Linked DNA regions of Saccharomyces cerevisiae S288C. The gene in region 1 interacts genetically with each later gene. Each region holds a gene or a part of one and is shown on either strand. Other genes may lie near its edges.

Evidence for each region.
Region 2: mutations in PCA1 (region 1) and YOL163W together harm fitness more than expected from each alone (negative genetic interaction), as found in Saccharomyces cerevisiae (2 studies listed by BioGRID).

The regions. Positions count from the first base shown.
Region 1 is NC_001134.8:789,796-798,200, forward strand, and holds PCA1 (cation-transporting P-type ATPase PCA1), read left to right. Parts: upstream 1-3,053; coding exon 3,054-6,704; downstream 6,705-8,405. Other genes in the region: SUL1 (sulfate permease), read left to right, coding at 1-2,019; PHO89 (Pho89p), read right to left, coding at 7,003-8,405.
Region 2 is NC_001147.6:7,786-10,848, reverse strand, and holds YOL163W (uncharacterized protein), read right to left. Parts: upstream 1,253-3,063; coding exon 743-1,252; downstream 1-742. Other genes in the region: YOL162W (uncharacterized protein), read right to left, coding at 83-730; BDS1 (sulfuric ester hydrolase), read right to left, coding at 2,734-3,063.

The DNA of each region.
Region 1 (8,405 bases):
GTCATTGCTGAAGTTCTAAAAAAATATCCCGAAGACCAGACAGAAGTTACAGCTCCTATCATTGCAACTACCCTTTGTTTGCTTTGTGGGATTGTCGCCACTGGGTTGGGTATACTGCGTTTAGGCTTTTTAGTGGAACTTATTTCTCTAAATGCTGTTGCTGGCTTCATGACCGGTTCCGCATTTAACATCATCTGGGGTCAAATTCCGGCTCTCATGGGATACAACTCATTAGTGAATACCAGAGAAGCAACGTATAAGGTTGTAATTAACACTCTGAAACATTTACCAAACACAAAGTTAGACGCCGTTTTTGGCTTGATTCCGTTGGTAATCCTCTATGTATGGAAATGGTGGTGTGGTACATTTGGTATAACTTTGGCAGATAGATATTATCGAAATCAACCAAAGGTAGCAAATAGACTGAAATCCTTCTATTTCTATGCACAAGCTATGAGAAATGCCGTCGTCATAGTAGTTTTTACTGCCATATCGTGGAGCATAACAAGAAACAAATCTTCAAAAGACCGTCCAATCAGTATTCTGGGTACAGTTCCCTCGGGCTTAAATGAGGTGGGAGTTATGAAAATCCCAGACGGTCTGCTATCTAATATGAGTTCAGAAATACCTGCTTCAATTATCGTTCTGGTGTTAGAACACATCGCTATTTCAAAATCCTTTGGTAGAATTAACGACTACAAGGTTGTCCCTGACCAAGAACTTATTGCGATTGGTGTGACAAATTTGATAGGGACATTTTTTCACTCATATCCAGCAACTGGGTCATTTTCCAGATCTGCTTTGAAAGCAAAATGTAACGTGCGCACTCCGTTTTCTGGGGTATTCACTGGCGGTTGCGTTCTATTAGCACTTTATTGTTTAACTGACGCCTTCTTTTTCATTCCTAAAGCGACACTATCGGCGGTTATTATTCATGCTGTTTCTGATTTGCTGACTTCTTACAAAACCACCTGGACCTTCTGGAAGACCAACCCGTTAGATTGTATCTCATTTATCGTTACAGTGTTCATCACAGTATTTTCATCCATTGAAAATGGTATATATTTTGCAATGTGTTGGTCATGTGCAATGTTACTATTGAAACAGGCTTTCCCTGCTGGTAAATTCCTTGGTCGTGTTGAGGTGGCAGAAGTATTGAACCCAACAGTACAAGAGGATATTGATGCTGTGATATCATCTAATGAATTACCTAATGAACTGAATAAACAGGTTAAGTCTACTGTTGAGGTTTTACCAGCCCCAGAGTATAAGTTTAGCGTAAAGTGGGTTCCGTTCGATCATGGATACTCAAGAGAATTGAATATCAATACCACAGTTCGGCCTCCTCCACCAGGTGTCATAGTCTATCGTTTGGGTGATAGCTTTACTTACGTGAACTGCTCAAGGCATTATGACATTATATTTGATCGTATTAAGGAAGAAACAAGGCGAGGCCAACTTATAACCTTAAGGAAAAAGTCAGACCGTCCATGGAATGATCCTGGTGAATGGAAAATGCCAGATTCTTTGAAATCACTATTTAAATTTAAACGTCATTCAGCAACAACGAATAGTGACCTACCGATATCGAATGGAAGCAGTAACGGAGAAACATATGAAAAGCCGCTACTGAAAGTCGTCTGCCTGGATTTTTCCCAAGTTGCTCAAGTGGATTCAACCGCTGTTCAAAGCCTGGTTGATCTGAGAAAAGCTGTGAATAGGTATGCGGATAGACAAGTCGAATTCCATTTTGCCGGAATTATATCTCCATGGATCAAAAGAAGTCTTTTGAGTGTTAAATTCGGAACTACAAATGAGGAATATAGTGACGACTCTATTATCGCTGGCCATTCTAGTTTTCACGTTGCAAAAGTTTTGAAGGATGATGTGGATTATACTGATGAAGACAGCCGTATAAGCACATCTTACAGTAACTATGAAACATTATGTGCTGCAACTGGGACAAATTTACCGTTTTTTCATATCGATATACCCGATTTTTCTAAATGGGACGTTTAGTGTAGTAGATAGTAAGTACTTTAATTACCCCCCCTGTTTTTAGTTATACATGAAAAGATAATTGTGTTATTAATGTAGATTACCATCAAATAGCTGGAATATTTATTATTTTGAGTATGTTGAATGGCGAAAGTAAAAATAAATTTTATAATTTCCTGAAAGCATTAGTACACGAAAAGGGCCGTTTTCAGTAGTTTAAGGCGCTGAAAAGACATGGTCTAGAAGTTAACTTGAGCTTGAGCCTATTTTCTACAAATGTCCTTTGAAAATACAAAAATAAAAATAAAAATGCATTTAAGTATTAAGCTTATGCTAGATAGAGCAACATTTTCCTAATTTTTTTTGAATTTATTTCATGGTTTTTAGGCGGAAAGAGTTTGGACGGCTTGTCTCTCCTAATGTGGAAGAAATTATGTTTTGTTATGAATCTGAAAAGAAAAATACTATTTTAGCAATACAATGAATTTTAAAAAGTTACCCTGTACTTTAATCCTTCAATTAAAACACTTCTTAAAATAGTATATTTTGAAGATCATCGATATATATACAGAGGCAGTTTTGCAAGGCAGATAACGTTATTGAGTTGTATGTAGGCTGTGTGATTTTAATCTCATAAATCAATAATGGAATAATTTTCTTATTGTTAATATCGATTTATATTTTCCAACAATACAATGAAGTAAGTACTATTTCTATTTGGAAGGAATTCATTCCCCATTTTAGCTCCTCGAGCGGATGAATCCATCACTGTTTTGAAGAAAACCAACAAAGTGTCAAATAGTTGTCTTTTTGAAATTGGTTCTGAAGAGTTTTCGGAAAATGATCTGATAACAGGCCTTTCTAAAAATATAAGGTTGAACGAATGTATGGGTTAGGTAATCAAAATTTAGGCGCCAACAAGGAATTTTTCTTTAAAATCGCATGAAAAGCCTACACTTGGCATAAATAAGGTGCAATTATAAATATAAAAGCAAGATATTTTCGAGATGCTTCCAGGATTTATACAATGAAAGAGCCCAAAGCTGCTGATAACGATGAAGCCGGAAAAACTCTTCTCCGGTTTAGGTACCAGCGATGGCGAGTATGGAGTGGTAAATAGCGAGAACATATCAATAGATGCTATGCAAGATAATAGAGGCGAGTGTCATCGTAGATCCATAGAAATGCATGCTAATGACAATCTGGGATTGGTCTCCCAGCGAGACTGTACCAATCGGCCCAAAATTACTCCTCAGGAATGTTTGAGTGAGACTGAGCAGATATGCCATCATGGCGAGAATAGGACTAAGGCTGGGTTAGATGTAGACGATGCTGAAACCGGTGGTGATCACACCAATGAATCCCGTGTAGATGAATGTTGTGCTGAGAAAGTGAACGACACTGAGACTGGCTTGGATGTGGACAGCTGTTGCGGCGATGCTCAAACAGGTGGTGACCACACCAATGAATCCTGTGTTGATGGATGCTGCGTTAGAGATTCTTCAGTGATGGTCGAGGAAGTTACAGGCAGCTGCGAAGCTGTATCTTCTAAAGAACAATTGCTGACCAGCTTTGAAGTTGTTCCAAGCAAATCTGAAGGTCTGCAATCTATTCATGATATTAGAGAGACAACTCGCTGCAATACCAATTCCAACCAACACACAGGGAAGGGTAGGCTTTGCATCGAATCAAGTGACTCTACACTCAAGAAAAGAAGTTGTAAAGTTAGCAGACAGAAAATTGAGGTTTCCAGTAAGCCTGAGTGCTGCAACATTTCATGTGTTGAGCGGATTGCATCTCGTAGCTGTGAAAAGAGGACTTTTAAAGGTAGCACCAATGTTGGAATTTCTGGGAGTAGCTCTACCGACAGTTTAAGCGAGAAGTTCTTCAGCGAACAGTACTCTAGAATGTACAATCGTTACTCCTCAATTTTGAAAAATTTAGGTTGTATCTGTAACTATTTGCGTACTTTGGGAAAAGAATCTTGTTGTCTCCCAAAGGTGCGTTTTTGTAGCGGGGAGGGTGCTTCTAAAAAGACAAAATACTCCTACCGCAACAGTTCTGGATGTTTAACAAAGAAAAAGACCCATGGAGACAAAGAAAGGTTGAGCAATGACAATGGCCATGCTGATTTTGTTTGTTCTAAAAGTTGTTGCACTAAAATGAAGGATTGTGCTGTTACCTCAACTATTTCTGGACACTCTTCGAGTGAAATTTCAAGAATCGTATCAATGGAACCAATTGAAAATCATCTTAATCTTGAGGCAGGATCTACCGGTACCGAGCACATTGTTCTTAGTGTTTCAGGAATGTCCTGTACTGGTTGTGAATCAAAACTTAAGAAATCATTTGGCGCGCTCAAATGTGTTCACGGTTTGAAGACCAGTTTAATATTATCGCAAGCTGAATTTAATCTGGATCTTGCTCAGGGATCTGTCAAGGATGTTATCAAGCACTTGAGCAAAACTACTGAATTCAAGTACGAACAGATTTCAAATCATGGTTCAACTATAGATGTTGTTGTTCCTTATGCAGCAAAAGATTTTATTAATGAGGAATGGCCACAAGGTGTCACAGAGCTGAAAATTGTTGAGAGAAATATCATTCGTATTTACTTTGACCCAAAGGTTATAGGTGCCAGAGATCTTGTCAATGAAGGATGGAGCGTGCCTGTTAGTATTGCTCCATTCAGTTGTCATCCAACCATTGAAGTGGGAAGGAAGCATTTAGTTCGTGTAGGCTGCACGACCGCTTTATCCATAATATTGACGATCCCGATTCTCGTGATGGCTTGGGCTCCACAGCTTCGTGAAAAAATTTCCACTATCTCCGCGTCAATGGTGCTAGCAACTATTATTCAATTTGTTATTGCAGGACCGTTTTACTTAAATGCCTTGAAGAGTTTGATATTTTCCAGGCTCATTGAAATGGATCTACTAATAGTTTTAAGCACTAGCGCTGCCTACATATTTTCGATTGTATCATTTGGATATTTCGTTGTTGGACGCCCGTTATCTACGGAGCAGTTTTTTGAAACCAGCTCTTTGCTTGTAACTCTCATCATGGTTGGTCGCTTTGTGAGTGAACTAGCTAGACATAGGGCTGTAAAGTCAATATCAGTACGTTCCTTACAGGCCTCTTCTGCTATTCTGGTGGATAAAACTGGTAAAGAGACGGAAATTAATATTAGACTTCTCCAATATGGCGATATTTTTAAGGTTTTACCTGATTCAAGAATCCCAACTGATGGAACAGTCATTTCTGGGTCTTCTGAAGTCGACGAAGCGTTAATCACAGGTGAATCTATGCCAGTCCCGAAAAAGTGTCAATCAATTGTTGTTGCAGGATCGGTGAATGGCACTGGTACTTTGTTTGTGAAGCTGAGCAAGCTTCCAGGGAACAATACTATTAGTACCATAGCCACGATGGTTGATGAAGCAAAATTAACTAAGCCAAAGATCCAAAATATCGCTGATAAAATTGCAAGTTATTTCGTGCCAACTATCATTGGAATCACTGTCGTCACCTTTTGCGTTTGGATAGCGGTTGGAATCCGTGTGGAAAAGCAATCCCGCTCCGATGCCGTAATTCAGGCCATTATATATGCCATTACGGTACTTATCGTTTCGTGTCCCTGCGTGATTGGACTTGCCGTTCCTATCGTATTTGTTATTGCAAGTGGCGTCGCTGCGAAAAGAGGGGTAATCTTCAAATCAGCAGAGAGTATAGAAGTTGCTCACAACACTTCGCATGTTGTCTTCGATAAAACGGGTACCCTAACTGAAGGAAAACTTACTGTAGTACATGAAACTGTTAGGGGTGATCGTCATAATTCTCAATCTTTGTTGCTTGGATTAACTGAAGGAATAAAACACCCAGTTTCCATGGCAATAGCATCCTATCTCAAAGAAAAAGGTGTTTCTGCTCAAAATGTTTCTAATACAAAAGCTGTGACTGGTAAGCGGGTAGAAGGAACATCATACTCTGGTTTGAAGTTACAAGGAGGGAACTGTCGTTGGCTTGGTCATAACAATGATCCTGACGTTCGAAAAGCCCTTGAACAAGGATATTCTGTATTCTGTTTTAGTGTTAATGGTTCAGTCACTGCAGTTTATGCATTAGAGGACTCTTTACGGGCAGATGCTGTCTCCACTATTAACTTGTTACGCCAAAGAGGGATTTCACTACACATTTTATCAGGGGATGACGATGGAGCCGTTCGTTCTATGGCAGCCCGTCTTGGAATTGAAAGCTCCAATATTCGTTCTCACGCAACGCCTGCAGAAAAGAGTGAATATATTAAGGATATTGTCGAAGGAAGAAATTGCGATAGTTCTTCGCAGTCAAAAAGACCGGTTGTTGTTTTTTGCGGTGACGGAACAAACGACGCAATTGGTTTGACTCAAGCAACGATTGGAGTTCATATCAATGAGGGAAGTGAGGTTGCCAAGCTAGCTGCTGATGTAGTTATGTTAAAGCCAAAGCTCAACAATATTTTGACTATGATAACTGTAAGTCAAAAGGCCATGTTTAGGGTCAAATTGAATTTCTTATGGAGTTTTACTTACAACTTATTTGCTATCCTTTTGGCGGCTGGTGCCTTTGTTGACTTTCATATTCCACCAGAGTATGCGGGTTTAGGGGAACTAGTTAGTATCCTCCCTGTAATTTTTGTAGCTATACTTCTGCGTTATGCAAAGATTTAGTCCAGGTACTGCTGCTATTTGATTGTAGATTTTCTTTTTTCTTTTCTTTTTTTTTTTTGACGACTCTGTAATACTCTATTTATTATTTAGTTTAGTTTTCTATTTAATATGATGGAATTCATAAAAAAAAAAAATACACATAGCCATGCCAGGTAATTGCAGATCAACTGATAAATTAGAAAAAAATTAATGCATCTTTAAGGTTTTAAATTAGAAATGTTTTAACTTTAAAGTCACTGAGCAATAAAAGTTCTACCTAATGTTGTAAAACTGTATTCATAACCGAAACACATTATGATTATGTCATTTGGTATTCCACACCAAAGCGAGGAGCATTCAAAATGATACCATTTATGATACCGGCAATCAAACCAGCAATTGGTAAAGTTAAAAACCAACCAGAATAACACCAGGCTACCATTCTCCAATTAACTGATTTGAGATCCTTGTTACATAAACCAACAGCGACAATACCACCAACGGCGATCTGGGTTGTTGAGGTAGGAATACCTAATTGGGTAGCCATGACAGTAGTAATAGCAACAGCTAGTTCAATTGAAAAGCCTCTTGATGGCGACTGCAAAATCATCTTATTACCTAGATTTTTGATAATATTGTAACCATAAGTCCAGCAACCAATAACTAAGGCAACACCACCATAAGCCAGAACCCACACGGGAACTTCGGACTTTGCCCCAATAGTGTTAGTTTTCCAGATCACATACACAGCAGACAAAGGACCAGTAGCGTTGGCAACGTCATTAGCTCCATGAGCAAAAGACATAGTGGCTGCAGTAATGGCTTGGAGAACCGAATAGATATATTCTACTCTATTGTCGTAAAATTTAGATCTTTCGTACATTCCTTTCAGGTCACCAGATAACATATCTCTATCATTAACTTGAGCATGAATGACGTCTTGAGTCCAACCATGAGAGATTACTAACCAGAACAATAAGGGCCATTTTTTAGGTCCTTGCTTTAATAATGACCACCAATATTGTTTCGTTGACAACTTTGTTTCTGGTTCAGTTTCAGTTCTAACCAGGTCCACTTCCTGGATGTCTTCTTTGTTTTTGACGGAATCATTAGAATTACTCGCTGCCTTATTTTCTTCGTCTTCAACAGAAACAGTTGTTCCAAGATTTCTTCTGCCCTCGTAATAATCGATTGTTAATTGATGGCCTTCTGGCATTGGTGGGATATCATCAGTGGACTTAAAGTAAAAAGATGGACCTCTGAAAATATCAATCAACTTTAGTGTCCAATCTTGGTCCAAAACTTTTCTTCTGTAGAATGGGTAGAAAAAGATGAAGTAAACGATCGAAGCAATTGCACCTGTGAGAACAATAGATACGGCAGTTTCAGTTTCAGATAAATCGTCCAAGTGTAGGTTTGGAGAACCCTTCCAGACAATCAACATTGTTAAGATAGAGAAAGTGGCGAATACTAAAACACCAACCAGCAGTAAAGCATTCTTAATCGATCTTTCCAAAGACTTAACTTCAAGGACAGAAAACCTAGAAATTGAAAAAACTATAGCTGCGATCGCGCCTGCCAAAATCGGAGCAATGAACCATGACGCAATAATTTGAGAAACACCACTCCAACCCCAAACGACACCGTTAGCTCCACCGGCTGCAATCCCAGCGCCAATTGTACCACCAACAATGGAATGTGTAGTAGAAACTGGCATTCCGA
Region 2 (3,063 bases), on another chromosome or scaffold:
GTATAGAACATTAAATGAAAAAAATGATTCACAAACTTAAAAAATACATAACATGGAGATTGTATCCATATTTCTACATAGTTCAGTGATAGAATCTAAAATCGAGTCTACGTGAACCAGCATCACTAGTAGTACTTAGATAGTGGTCTTTTTCCTCTTCTGACATTGCATTCCACCTCTTATCCCTCTGCTTGTTGATATAGACATAAATCAATTTGCTACCAATTAATATTGGAAACATAAAAAGTGCCAAACCAAAAAGAACTCCATTTCCCTTACGATAGAGTGGGGCATCGCTTTTCGCATAAATGTTTGAGGATATGATGAGACCTGCTTGCACGAACATATTGTACAAGCAAGTAGATACTGTTCTTGTTTTAACTGATTGGGAGTTTCTAGAACACAAGGATACACAAATTGCATGGATATACGGATTATCTAATATTAAGGTAATAATTGCATAAGTTCCCCATTTATTAAACATTGTACCTTTCCAAAAGCGAAGAACTGCAAGAAGAGGAACAGTGTACAACGGTTGTAACAGACTCAAACCTAGCCTGTTATTACATTTTTCTGTCGACCATGTTAAACCAAACAGCAGGAGAATATGAAGAACAAAGTTAGGAATAGCTAGCAGGTTGGCTTGAAAGGTTGTGAAACCGATACTTCTCAATACCAAAGTCAGGTATGTGGCCAAAACGTTCGTAGGGATATAAGCCAAAAGGCCCATCAAGTAGATAGGCTATATATAGTAATCTGTTATCCCCTGCCATAACATTTTAAGTGACATACCTTGCCTATTGTTCATATCCCCTTTTGTCGGATCATCTCTCAGAATCTTGTTTACGATGATTTTTTCTTCCCTCTCAGTGAACCATCCTTTCTTGCTCCAAGGTTTCTTCGTTTGAACTACGGAGGGTACCATCAAGAAGTATGCACTGATACCGATGACTAAAGTGAAAATTCTTTCTATCAAAAAAAGCCATTGCCACCCTGCCATGCCACCTATCCCTCTCATGTGAAAAACCCCGAAGGCCACAATTGAAGTGATGATTTGTGTTAGAGATAGTGTCACCCAGAAGAACGACAGTCTTATTGACAATTCTGAAGAGCTGTAGAAGTACGACATCCAGAGAACCAAATCAGCCACAAAACCACCTTCAAATAGGCCCATAAGTGCTCTACATGTATAGAAAGAACTCTTCCCTGTCATTTTGCATTGCAACGTAGCCACTAGGGACCACGCTATCATTTGCAGAGGAATCCAACTATCAGCTCCTAGTTTCTTCGAAATGAGTTGTGAGGGTAATTCTGCACACAAGAAAGTCAAGTAGAATATGGTGTTTCCAACGTTATAATTGTTAGCATTTAAACCCAAATCATGCAATAAGTTATCGGCGACCGCTTGTGACAAATTACCTCGATCAATCTGCAAGGCCACAAATAGGAAACATGAAAGGGGAGTAACATGCCAGTCTAACTTTCTCACTACTTTTTATTCTTCTTTCTTAGTCCATTCAAATGTTGTATCAAATCTTTCAAGACATTCATACTTAGTGGACTCGTACAACTGTCTATAATACTTTTCCACAGCAGGATTTAAAAAGGGGTTTTCAGGCTTTCCAGAGAGTTGTCGGTATTGGGAATGTTCACCAATGAATAGAGAGGTTTATCAGAAAGGGACTCCTCTAACTGAGTAACTGTAGTTTCTACAGAGGCTTTTTCAGGCTTGTACTCAAACATAAATACGAAACAAAGTGTTTAGAGAGTGCTATATTAATTTGTGTCTGAAATAGTACGTTTATATACTAAGTATATTGGCTCAGGCTGCCTTCGGTTATCAGCAGTGTCAATAAAGATTTACATATCTGTGTAATGGATAAAAAACTCTATGACACCCCGATTGCTGTTGAATAGTCTAGGTGAGTATATTATCTTCAGCAGATGGCTTTTCCATCAGAGCCATTGTGAAGAAATCGGAGGAAAATTGTGGTCTATTCACAATGACAAGCGGTGAGCGTCACCCTAAAGAACACCGAAACTCGGCGAGCTGCCAGATAAGTTCTCTTTGTTTTGTCTTAGCTTGTGGCGCAGGGTCCTCTGAGTATTCTCTTACATCGCGCCACAATATACGCCACAAGCCCGAAACAGTTGTAATCACTATGAGTTTGTATTCCACCGTTAGTGTGAATCTATCTTTCCACTATTAGCTGGAATGTCGATGAAAACCAGGTGATGGAAAGTAGATGGTCTGAAACTACCATTTTGAAGAACGCAAACTTTATCGAAGTAAATCGAAACGGCAGATTCATTTGAATTTGAGATAACTTTAAATTTCAATTCACAATAGTAAATGTTATTAGGAAAACAGAATATACGAAAAGCTCTCTTCGGAAGTATAGGTGACTGTAAATAGAAACCTGTAGCTCCACCAAAGTATTATAGATTACTGTGTCTTCCTTTTTTAAACACTCTGATTCATTAGTTTCACTGTATATTAATCCGTACTTTTCCAATTGTAGTAAATACGATAACACCTCGAACCACACTTTACAAGCTTTATAACTTATATCATTCTCGATATCGTATATGATAATCAGTGGGCCAGGAATGATTTCTCTTCTTCACAAAAGGCCTCGTATTGAAGAAATACTATTGAAAAATTATATAATATAGTGGATAAAAAAGTTGGCATCTAAAAATCAAGTTTCTCGCCGATTTCTGATAATATATTCAAGTGCTTCCCCCCATAGGCTCAACGACGGGAAAGGACTGGTCGAAGTCGTCAAACAACTTCAACAGCTCTTCAATTCTGAGTCGATTACCCTCTATTTCGACTTCTTTTGATCTTAAAAAATCAACCATAGTAATTTCATTGGCCAATAAAGCTTCAAATGTAGTTCTTTTGAGAGTAATTGTTGCATCTGCATCTGTCTGCCAGCCCTGAATGTAGGTCAGGGCACAGTTTTCGAGAGTGATCACGAACCGTTCATTTGAATTAATGAAACACCAATTACTAACGATAATTTTACCTTCTGCTTTCGTAGCGTTCAATCTCACAGC